Caenorhabditis elegans: one gene and its partners. The protein of the gene in region 1 interacts with the protein of each later gene in a pairwise test. Each region holds a gene or a part of one and is shown in the gene's direction. Other genes may lie near its edges.

Region 1 (4,452 bases):
AGTAGATGAAGCTCTATCGGATGATGAAGACGATGGAGACAATGAGGATGAGGATGATGATGGGAATGATGTTGGAGAAGATAAGGGAGATGAAAATTTAGAAGAGAAACAAGAGAAAAATGAAGAAGAAATGGATGATGTTGAGCAGAATGGATCTGTTGAGAATCAATCAGGAGATGCTTTGGAAAACGAGACAGATTCTACATCAAGGGGACAGAAAAGAAAGCATTGTCCTGAAATGGAGGACGAGGAAGAGGTAAGAAACTTGAAAATAATTTATTCCAATAATATTTATTTCAGGAATCAGATTCTGATAATGAGGATGACGATACCCCTATGTCGTACAAAGCACTTTTGTCAGATTCACGCAAAAAAGGTCGAATTGTTCCAGAAAACGAGGATGATGCAGTATTTGATGTTGATGATGAGGTAAAAAGGGCGGCAAGTATAAAAAATTGAAAATAAAACGGAAAGTTTTGAATTTATAGTGGCTAAAATTAATAGTAGTGAATTTTTTGAAAAAAGTTAAATTTTGGCTTCTTGAGCTTAAAAATATCAATCCAAATCGTTCCAGTGTCTAGAATTTATCGAAAAATACGACATTTTATCGATATTAAACAAAAATTCAAAGAAACACGTGAATCATTATTCCTGCTTGGGAGATCAAAAGTGTTTTGAAAAAAAAAGACTTTTACAGAAAGGCCACGCACCAGCTAATATAGATGAAGAAGAAGATGACGAAGACAATGAAGATGAGGAAGTACCGGAATCTGATGATGACGATGAGTTCGAGGATATGGCTGCATTGATCGAACGTCAGATTAGCGATGCAGTAGATGAAAAAGATCAATGAGTTTTCTGTGAAATCATCATGTGCTATTATTGTTTTCATTTCCTATTATTCTTTCAGTTGTTTCCCATCTTTTACATCTCATAATTATCACCCCCGTTCCCCATTTGATTCGATACTCAATGTTTTCTGTACTATTTACCTCCATTTAAATGGGAATAATCTGACAATTAATGTCGGCTGCTTGATCAGAGTGATTTTCATCAAATCAATCAAAACTTCACTAGAAGCCTGCATTTTTGTCATATATAAACGTTCACGGTTTGGAATATAGATTGCTTTTTATTCACTTATCTTTTGCCTTTTGATTGTAAATTCAAGAAAAGTCTGTCACTATGGAGTTATTCATCTTTCGATTGCTTACTTAAATACCTCTATTTTCATTTTATCGAATTAATTTTTTTTTCTAAATCGCGTCATTGTCTCATTTCTTCTCTCGTTTCACGTTGATCGTTATTATTTTTTTCTGAAAATGAATGAGATTCATTTCTATTTTTCTTGCTGACGCTTTCGCAATGCCGTTTGATTCGGAAGTATGATTTATTTTTTTCGAATTATAGGATTAATGTATAGTATTTGTTACGCGAGACCAAAAAAAGTTTCATGTAACAAATGTAGTACAATGTTTACATTTCCACAAAAATCAATAATTTACAATTTGTATACAATTCAATGTGGTCTTATATTACACAATCAATCGTTTCAACAACACGTTTTGCCGAACTGGATTTTTATCGATCTTTTACTATTTCCTTATTATTAAAAGTTATTAAAAGCTATATATTCGCAAAAAGTTTTGAAAAAAATTGGTAGAGTGATTAGCTATTGAAAAAACTTATTTCATTTCCTTTTAGTGACTAGTTTATTTACCATTGCAGTGAAAGTTTATGAAAAAAGTATTTACTTTTCTCTTTTGAAAAGAAATATTTTCTCGCATTTTTTGTCTATAGAGCATTTTTGCACACACGCGCACTAAGCGCCTTTTTTGTATGTATTTTCAGCGGTTTTTATCGATTTACTCATTGTCAAGAATCTTTTCAGTTTGAAGCCTATCTCAAAGCCAGAATGGATTTCAATCGAGATGCCGGCAATGAGACAGCCAGTCAGCTTCAACTCAATATTCAGAATTTAAATCAACAAGGTTTGCACGAAATTTTTTATTAAAAAAAACACGTTGTACACTAAATTTCGTTTCAGTTATTCAATTGGAATCCTTTATCACAAATCTATCAGATAGCAGTGAATCAGGACAAAGAGAACGGGAGCTTTTCAATCGCGTTAGTTATTACTCTCTATTAATTAATATTACATTAAAATATTTCAGAAAGCTCATAATGCTCAGGAACTCTCGAAGGAAACCAATGCCCTGCTGAAAAGATTAGTTGTGATGAGCAACTCTGATGTGAGTTTCAGTATAAATTTTTATATTAAACTTTGGTGAAGGCAAAATTTTTCAATGAATTTATATTTTAAAAAAATTATCCTAAGGTTTTAAAATTTTATAACATTCAAAAATAAATCATAAAATCACACGATTTTTGTTAAATAAAAAAAACTTAAAAAAATAATTTGAAATAATCTTATTATCAAAATATATAAACTGGCATGTGTAAAGTGGCTTATTTTTTATTTTGTTTTTTATTCAAGCTCCTCCCATTCCTGACCTTTCGTTAAAGTTTGTATTTATTAGTTCATTTTAAAAAAATGGGAGGAGCTTAAATAAAAAACAAAATAAAAAATAAGCCACGTTTCACATGACAGTTTATATATTTTGATAATAAGTGGCCTATTCAAGTAGTATCGGAAAATTAAAAAGTGTAGAAAATGACGTCACAACTATATTAAAATACATGTTTTTGTATGTATTTGATTACAGTTGTGGCGCCATTTGTCTACAATTTTCCGACTCTACTTGAATAACCTCATAAATCAATTTTTAAATCCGAAATTTAAATTTTCTGAAAATTGATTTCAAACTCATTTTGTATTGATATTCATATGAAAATAGGAAATACACGTTTGGGAGAGATGTCTTTGAAGGAATATTTTATTATAGTATTATCAACAACATTAAAATATTTCAGAAGAACTTACGAGGAGTCCGAGAGCGTCTTCAAAATGAGTATATCGGAGTGCTCAACCGCCTTCAAGCATCTCAACGAAAAGCTGCACAAACTGAAAAAGCTGGAATGGTTGCAGCAGAAATGGATGCTCAAGCGGCACGTGATGCTGCCGAATACGATATGTACGGAAATAATGGACGAAGTGGTGGACAGATGCAGATGACGGCACAGCAACAAGGAAATTTGCAAGATATGAAAGAACGACAAAATGCATTACAACAATTGGAACGAGATATTGGAGATGTTAATGCGGTAGGCTTTATTCAATTGAAGTTATAATGACCAATTTAAAAATTATTATTTTTTAATTTCTATTAATTTCATTAAAAGCGGTTAGAGGATGTGCCATACGAAAAATAACTCTTCAAGATTAAGTAACATTAATTAATTTTCAGATTTTCGCCGAACTCGCGAATATCGTACACGAACAAGGAGATATGGTGGATTCGATTGAGGCAAATGTGGAGCATGCACAGATTTACGTTGAACAGGTAAAAATTCGGAGAATCACAGAATTGTTCGAGAATGAAGCGATGAAAACGAAAATCTGCAAAAAAAACTTTAATTTATCTAAAAATATACACGTTTAGGTACTTTCAAAGTTGAAAAATAGTGGGTATTCCATTTTAATAAAAAATAAATTAAGGGTGCTCAAAATGTGCAACAAGCCGTCTACTACAATCAGAAAGCCCGTCAAAAGAAGCTTCTCCTTCTCTGTTTCTTTGTTATTCTTATCTTTATCATTGGATTAACCCTCTACCTGGCTAAGTAATAGGAGTGTCTCTGTTCTGTGAATATGCTTCCTGTCCTATATTTATTTGAAAAACATACTGAGAATCGAGCTTTTATTATAAGTCATGTGTTTGTATACAGTCTAACCTAAGTCTAAAATATGTTCAACTCCTCAATTGTACTAACTTCCCTCTCGTTGCTTTTTTTCGAATTTTTCTCAATAAAATGTATTGATTGAATATGACGTACTGCTTTGACGTTCTTTTCAGAGAAGAAGAATGATCGGGATCATTTGACCGATGAAATGATGATCGACCGGGAAAAAATGAAATAAAAAACTTATGCAAATCCGATCAGTGTGGCAAACACGGGTTCGGCTCTAAACACGTTTTTTCTCCTTTTCGGAAAAAACAGTGATTTCATTTTTTCAGCCAAACCTAACGGCCGATTGACGCACTTGTGAAATTCTGAATTCGCACTACCGCCGCTGCTGTATAAAACGAAAAGTTTTACGCAAATCTTCTCTTTTCTTTTACTCTCCAACTTACTGCAGAACATAGACCTTTAAAATGGCTGAAAGTATTATTGATTTTGTGCTCGTTGCTATTATTTTAGCCGCCTTAGCGGTAGCTACACTTATTTTATTGTTTATGGTGAGTTTTATGATATAATAAGTATAAAAAGCCAAGATTAATAAATACTTCGTTTTCTGAAAGTTGAATGCTAAAAAAGGCCGGGAAAGGGCTA
Region 2 (3,110 bases), on another chromosome or scaffold:
ACACAAATGCAACGTGCCCTCCAAAATGGTGAATATATGAATAATTAATTAATTATCTCTACTTTTTAATAGGTTACGATGTCTCGTACTATGTGATTGTATGAGGGAAGAATTCCCTTCTAAAACCAGTTCTGTATCCAGTATGGATGTTCCCGAGAACATCATTGCGCCTGTTTCTCTTCTGAAGTCGTCATTACATAAGGTAAACCACCATGATTTGAACATTAATTGATATATTTTAGACTGCGTTTCTTGTTCGTGACACTCTGCAAGAAATGTCTCGCATTAATGAAAATCAGTTGCTCTGGCTCAAAATTCTGGATAAAACTGATCTAATGTGTCTTATTCTGTTTCAAGTTGCCAATGTTGTAATAACAATTGTATATTGGAAATAAAAATCAAAAATAACTTTCAATAAATTTATATTTACCCGTTTAAAAAATTTGATCAATTCATAGGGATAGATAGTCCTAGTGGCAAAAATTGGGTACTTGTTTGACAGTAAATTAAAAAATATTTAAAACGTCTCTAAAGCACCCTCAAAACAAATGATCGGTTTTAGTGAAGAATAATTTATATTAACAACTTTCCTGCGCGAGAACATGGAATGTTTGGACTTTTTTAGAGTATTGTTTTCTGCGGGGTTGACAAATTTTCAAGAGTCCCTAGGCCTTCTACAGTGCCGGCCATAATTCTATCCAATTTTAGTTTTTTGACAATAACTTGTTTCAAAGTGATTCGTTTGAGTTGAAAATTCACTATAATATGAAAATGATCAAAACATAACTATTACTGCAAGAATTATAAAAAAAGCAAAATTTAAAAAAATTTCGGGGAATTTTCAAAAATTCGAAAAAGTGAAAATTATCTAAATTCTGAAAATAGGTTCTTTGTGAACTGGATCGGTTTTATCTGTCTACGAAACTGTCATTAAACTAGTAAATGAATCTTTGTGAATTTATTTTTGGCAATTAAAACTTAGGTGTCACGTGACAACAGACCATAAGCTTACCTGCAACTTGCAAGTGCTTGAAAATGGAAGAGTCTTTCTATTTTCAGTCATTGTGGCTATGAAATCAGTCTCATTCATTTTTAAATTAGGTTTTCTACATTGTTCAAGACTATTCTATTGATTTTGTATAATGTTTCTATCTATCTCGCTGGATATAAGCATCGCAGAGACACTCAGTGCTTACCAAGTATGTCAATTTTTGTCTTTGCCGCCTTGGTAAAGCTACCCTAACCCCCTTTTTTTCTAATGTGTGCAAAAAGTCAAGCAGTCAGAGTGAGGGATGGTAAAGCTATCGCACCTGCAGCAAACTAACTTCAAAATAAATTATGGTTTTATAAATTAGGGTAAATTAGGTTTTGGTTTTCTCAAATGTTTTTTTTCCGCAAACGTTATTGGATTTGGCCTATATATATTCTCCAGGCCAACTAGAAAGCATTCAGCTGGCTAAAAACACGCGGTTATCGGTATATTCATAATTGAACAAGGCTTCCCTCAAGTGACTAAAAAAGCTTGTTTAATTACATGAAACGGATGAACTAGAAATTCTTTAATTTCTTTTTCGATGACCGTGATGTTTTACTTTATTTCAAAAATAATTCCAAAAAACATCCAGAAACTTTTTTATAAAGGTTGTTTTTTCTCCGCTTCAACCTCGACCTTTCTTTATCTCCACGGTCAATCTGCCCTAGATCCGTCCGTATAAAAGATCGGAAAATGTGTAATTCAAATCAGTCTCTGCTCGAATCACCGATTCTCTACTCACTCGACTACTTCTCTGCAATGGATCAAATCCCACCGTACGAGTTCAATAAGTACGTGCTCTACGCTCGTGGTGCCGTCATCGTGTGTGCTTCATTTGAGGTTCGTTCTGTGCCGTTCGTGGTCCTCGGAGGACTGGTCCTGGTTTTTAAGGGCTGGCCTCTAAAGACTTGTCCTGGCTCTTGGTCTTTTGCCCGTTTTCCAGAATGTATAGAACATCATGAAATATTTGCAGCTCCTGATGGTTCTGTTCGGTTCCCTCGGCGATTGCAATTTCCTTGCCAAGCTATTCTACTTCATCTTCCTCGGTGGAGCAGTTGCCGTCTCATCGCACAACATTGCTCTCAACATTGATGGTCGCGAGGAGATCAACAAGGTTCTTACCTCGTCTGACAATGAAGTTCGTGGAAAGTCTGCCGCATTGGTTCTTGTCCCAGCTCTTGCTGGTATCTTCGTCTTCTTGTGTGTTTCTGGGCATGCATTCTTCTCACTTTTCGTGCTCATCCACGTGCTCGCCGCTGTTGGACAACTCGGAATTGAAGCTTATGAGTTCAAGAAGGGACAATCTGGAGCTCCAGCACAAGACCCAGCCGCCACTGCACCACCAGCCCAGGATCCAGTTGCAGCTCCACCAGCACAGTAGAAAGAATACTTGGGGGTTTTTGAAATAAAAGTTTTTACTTGCTCTTTTTGATCAGGAATGTAATCTGCAAATTCTGCTAGACTCGGTCGCCAAAAAACCTGGAAAAACTAAGTGCTCTTTTCTACTGTAGTTTCAGAAGAGTGAGCATCTTGTTGTAAGAGTAATATTTTGTTGTGGTTAGTCCGAAGAGAGGCTTCTGTGATTACTTAAAAACTATCGTAACTATCAACTTTTTGAGCAAATACTGGGTTATTGGAGTACTTTAGTATGATTGCTGTTCGTTTCGCTGGGTTATTTCAAGGATTCTCGCAAACTGGAATAATTCAAACACTTTCTAAATGCTCAATAATCTTTATTATTAGTTCCAACTCCAACAAGAGAAACATTCATTTTCTTCCCCATCCAAGTGGAGTCGGTGGACGATAGATGGTATGTCTTGCATTTGCAGATGGGATGAAATTGAATGAACTTGGCTGAGGAGCTCTTCTAGCTGGGTTGAACAGTGATGGTAGAATTTGATTAGTTGGAATGAATTGCTGTAAAGTATTATACGTTTCTTTTGCTTGAAAGTTTGAAATCAGCCTACCGCGGAAACCGAGAAAATGGCGAAAGCAAGGAAGATGCAGGCGGTGAACAGTTGCATTATGAGATGCGCTTTTTGGACTTCACCGAAAAATGGTAAATTTATATGAAAAC
Region 3 (4,014 bases), on another chromosome or scaffold:
GGTCACGAGTTCAAGTCCGGCCTCATCCCCTAGGTTCTAGGACATGGCTTAAATTATGGCCCAGTAGGATCGTCACCAGGCAGTGTACCTGACAATCTTTTTTTTTATAACTCGGGGTATTTACCTCATCATGAGATGTTAAATCGATTGCTGGAATCGGCAGACACAACATCTTATTCATTTGAATCTCTTTGACTTCCTCATCAAAATTTGCACCGAAAATTATGTAGTGAAAATCTTTGCGAATACATTCTGGAGTCTTGTCAGAGTAATGAAGTGCCAACTGGAAAAAGTCAGGGACATCTTCGACACTGAGCTGGGCAGCCATGTTCTCCAAAATTTGCACAGCTTTTTCTCTGTAAATAGTTGAGTTATTTTTTCGAAACATGACGCTAGACAAACTTTTCATCTCGTTTCACTTGCAGAATTTCATCTTTTGCATTGATGAGGAAGACAATGGCAAGATGGAACACAAGGAATGGATCACCCTGAAAATTTTTTTTTGTTTCAGAAACTTTATGGACAGTTCCTACCTGCTCAATATATAACTTCCAAAGTTCATGGCACGATTCTGTGGACATACTGCTGGAGAATAAAGTTGCGAACCAGTTTTTCGTGTACATTGAAGGCGAGCAGTGAAGTGATTCCAAATGGTTACTAAAAATATTTTCTTATATTTATAAAATCTAAAACCTGAGCCGTTTGAATTTGCTTTCACTAAATAATTTGCACAACCGTTTCCATATAATACATGTTTCAAGCATGAAACCCTCAGGGGGGCTCCGCGCAAAAAGTTTCTGCTCAGCAACCTGTCATTTTTAAGCATATATTTTATCACTAAAAAGAAAAACCTAGGGATTTGCTAATTTTTTTTTTTTGAAGTTCTCGCTATGTAGCTTGATTTTACGATCATCCAACCTAATCTGAGGATCATGGTACTGTAATAGCAATCGGAATAAATCAAAAATCTGAGCATCTGGTCGGGTGTCTTTAGGAATATATTTCGTGGTGAATGCAAAGAAAACATTGAACTCGTGGGCGGCAGGAACATTGAGAAGAAGGATCTTTTCGAGGATCTGGAAATATAATTTTAACTTCTATAAAATGATTGCTTCTTGCAATTTGAAAAAAAGAAACTCACCGTCAACCATCCGATATCCTTGATATAATCCATCCCCCTCTTTTTGCAATAAAGTGTCAAAAATGACTCCAACTCGGGAACACTTCTCTTGTTCTTCAAACCGTTGGCAAGTTTCCGGCAATCATTTCGCAATGCGCACTGATTATTCAAATTGTACAGCTGATCCCAGTCATCCAATGGATTTGGTTTCATCGAGACTCCGAGTAGGCGCTGAAAATGTTCAAATTATCAAAAATCAGGGAAAAAAATAAAAAATAAAAACTCACCATCCAATCTGATTTATCATTTCCTTCAGTGTCCAAATCACCGAGCTCACTGCTCAGCACATTAACATCAGTTTCCCTGTAAGAATTTCCATAAAATATGCTCAACCTGTAACGAAAATAACTTACCAATTATCATCAAGCGAACTGAAACTTGTATTATTGGTTGGTCCCGTTTCTCCCATTGTTTGACTCTGTAAAAATCAATATTAAACCAAAAGTTTTTGTAATTCATTACTGAAAACCATAAATTCATGTGAAAATTAAAAAATAAAACTCGAAGTATTCAATAAGGAACAATTAAAACAGCCAAAGTCACTGGGGAAAACAATTAATCACATGAAAGATGCAACGAGAGTCCGTTATTCCGGCCCGCGTGCTGTTTAACGGTTCATTGCTGCGTTGGTTTTCTGCGCGTCTCCCGCTCTCCGTGTCATTTCGGCCGCATGCAAGAGCGGGTGAGCCCGCACTTTGCCACCTCCTCTCTGATTTCATTTATCTTTTCTTGCTCCCGCTTCTGTTTCACTTCCTTTTCAGTTATCATATGATTAGTCCAAGAAGGGAAACTTATTATTGATTAAAAATCCAAAGCTTATCGCGTGAAAATAGCAATTCTCAACGGTTTTCTCAAAGTTACTATTGAAAAATCAATAAGCACATTTTCACGTTGCAGGTAATTGTTCTCTGTCGACATGGGGGCTGCCGCGTCTGGAGTTAGCACGCAAATGCAAGCGGAACACGATCCGAATGCCGCGTTTCCATGGTGAGTCAGCCTATTATTTCCCAAGAAAAAAAAACGAGAAATGATTTCATAATTCGTTGCAGGTGGGTTCGCTTCCTGGCAAAAGGAGTCGCCATCCTCGGAGGTTTCCTCTCCCTATTCTTCGGAGTCCTCGGCCTGATCACTCTCTCGGCGACATGCATGGTGGCCATTCTTCTTCAAATGTAAGGAAAAAACAACTGAATCAACTGTAAACCTTTTAACTGTAATTTTTTCAGGACAGCTGGAGCATTAGTCATTGCGCTGGAGGCCCCATTCTGCTGCCAATTCGTCGACTTCATCGAGAAGATTGCCCGTTTCAGCGAATCGCGTGCTCTCTGGCACAAGGCTGCTATCTACGGAGCGTGAGTGACAGCTCTTTTTTTTTGATAGATAGAGAGAACAGTTCTACTAGGTCATTCAAATTATGATTTTTTCAAAAAACTATTTGATAAGATTAGTATTAAGATAGTATTAATTGAAAAATTATTCGCATGATTTCTCTTCTCAAATTTCATAGACCTAGACCATAATGAAAGAATATGTAGTAAAATATTCCGAAGAACCTTAAATTTTGATGTCTTGTGACAAGAGGCACATTTTTCAAGTGCACATCGCGTCGGCTTAGAAGACAAATTAGCATACTCTCTTGGCGTGTAGCGGGGCACAAACAACAATGTTTAATACTTTCTTGACTTCCTTGTAACAATACCAATTTTCAGCATGGGACTCATTCCAATCTTCCTGTGCATCGAGCTCAACACTATCCTTGGTAGTGGAACCATCTTCGCCTCGGGTGTTATTTACGGATTCATGGCGTTGGGCAAAAAGGCGGACCGCAGTAATATGATGGCCGCTGGAGATCCGGCGTGGAGCCCACAGGTCAACCAATCCAACATTCCATAAATTCCTAAAAGTCATTTCTTCCCGCCCTCAACCCATCCAGTAATTTTCACTTTGTCTGTCCATTTTCACTATATATTTATGTTTTCAAGTATTTATTTCTCATACATCTTTCCTCATCTGCTTTACTCTCCCCCCTCCTCTCACTTAAGCGTTTTATCTTCCTATGCAATTTGACCACGACCAACTAGTTTGGATCTGATTTTTTTTCTTCTTTTTTATTTATTGATAGTTTCCTTTTTTCTCACTATCTCTTCCCAATTATCTGAACAAAACGTTTTGTTTATACATTTGTATGCAGAGAATCTCTCGTTTCATTTCCGAGTTGTGCACCGAATACGATCTGTTGTGAAGTTACAATAAATTGGTTCGTAGTTTTCATTACACAATAATAAGTTGTATGCACAAAAACAAACTTTCCGTGGGCCTATATCACACAACTAGAAACTACATGGTATGATGCCTTATGACTGATAGCGAGCACAAAGCAAAACAAGAGCACATGCAAAAACTGGAGCTCTTGTTTTTATTCGGGACACTACAGAGGTGTTCGATTTTACAGTGGAAGAGTAATGGTTCTTGGTATTTCGAACGTAAATTTGAACGTATATGTTGCTCAAAGTGTGCTAAAATTAACGAATTTCGTAATCAAACTTCTCACAAATCTTTCAAAACGTTTTCATGGGGGAAAACTCATAATTGGTACTCCCACTGTAATAACATTTGATAACAAATATTGTGTCAGTTTTACTCTACCCAGAAGTTGTTTTTGAGGGACACCTCGTATTTGAAAAAATTCATGTATTAAACGGAAGAAACATATTACATAGTTTAGAGCAATAGGCTGTCCTCCCTTTTGTAAAGACTGGACTAAAATTAAAAGGCCTACAACAACTAAAAATGATCTGTTTTAACATTCAAAAGTTTTATTTACGTTAAAGCAGTAA

Evidence for each region.
Region 2: the proteins of syx-7 (region 1) and F17E9.5 interact in a two-hybrid assay, tested with the Caenorhabditis elegans proteins (one large-scale study listed by BioGRID).
Region 3: the proteins of syx-7 (region 1) and flwr-1 interact in a two-hybrid assay, tested with the Caenorhabditis elegans proteins (one large-scale study listed by BioGRID).

Annotation. Positions count from the first base shown.
Region 1 is NC_003279.8:9,001,403-9,005,854, reverse strand, and holds syx-7 (t-SNARE coiled-coil homology domain-containing protein), read left to right. Parts: upstream 1-1,891; 5' UTR 1,892-1,915; coding exon 1,916-1,991; intron 1,992-2,047; coding exon 2,048-2,127; intron 2,128-2,174; coding exon 2,175-2,252; intron 2,253-2,934; coding exon 2,935-3,225; intron 3,226-3,368; coding exon 3,369-3,464; intron 3,465-3,619; coding exon 3,620-3,745; 3' UTR 3,746-3,944; downstream 3,945-4,452. Other genes in the region: fcp-1 (RNA polymerase II subunit A C-terminal domain phosphatase), read left to right, coding at 1-256, 301-429, 698-853; F36F2.7 (uncharacterized protein), read left to right, coding at 4,275-4,358.
Region 2 is NC_003282.8:8,344,091-8,347,200, forward strand, and holds F17E9.5 (DUF7087 domain-containing protein), read left to right. Parts: upstream 1-1,727; 5' UTR 1,728-1,792; coding exon 1,793-1,873; intron 1,874-2,006; coding exon 2,007-2,414; 3' UTR 2,415-2,456; downstream 2,457-3,110. Other genes in the region: lgc-5 (Neurotransmitter-gated ion-channel ligand-binding domain-containing protein), read left to right, coding at 1-28, 73-202, 243-395; F17E9.18 (Neuropeptide-Like Protein), read right to left, coding at 2,801-2,950, 3,001-3,057.
Region 3 is NC_003284.9:14,968,335-14,972,348, reverse strand, and holds flwr-1 (Calcium channel flower), read left to right. Parts: upstream 1-2,077; 5' UTR 2,078-2,096; coding exon 2,097-2,167; intron 2,168-2,229; coding exon 2,230-2,349; intron 2,350-2,403; coding exon 2,404-2,529; intron 2,530-2,886; coding exon 2,887-3,070; 3' UTR 3,071-3,449; downstream 3,450-4,014. Other genes in the region: tbc-1 (TBC1 domain family member 23), read right to left, coding at 125-356, 403-488, 534-657, 919-1,076, 1,142-1,351, 1,408-1,483, 1,534-1,589.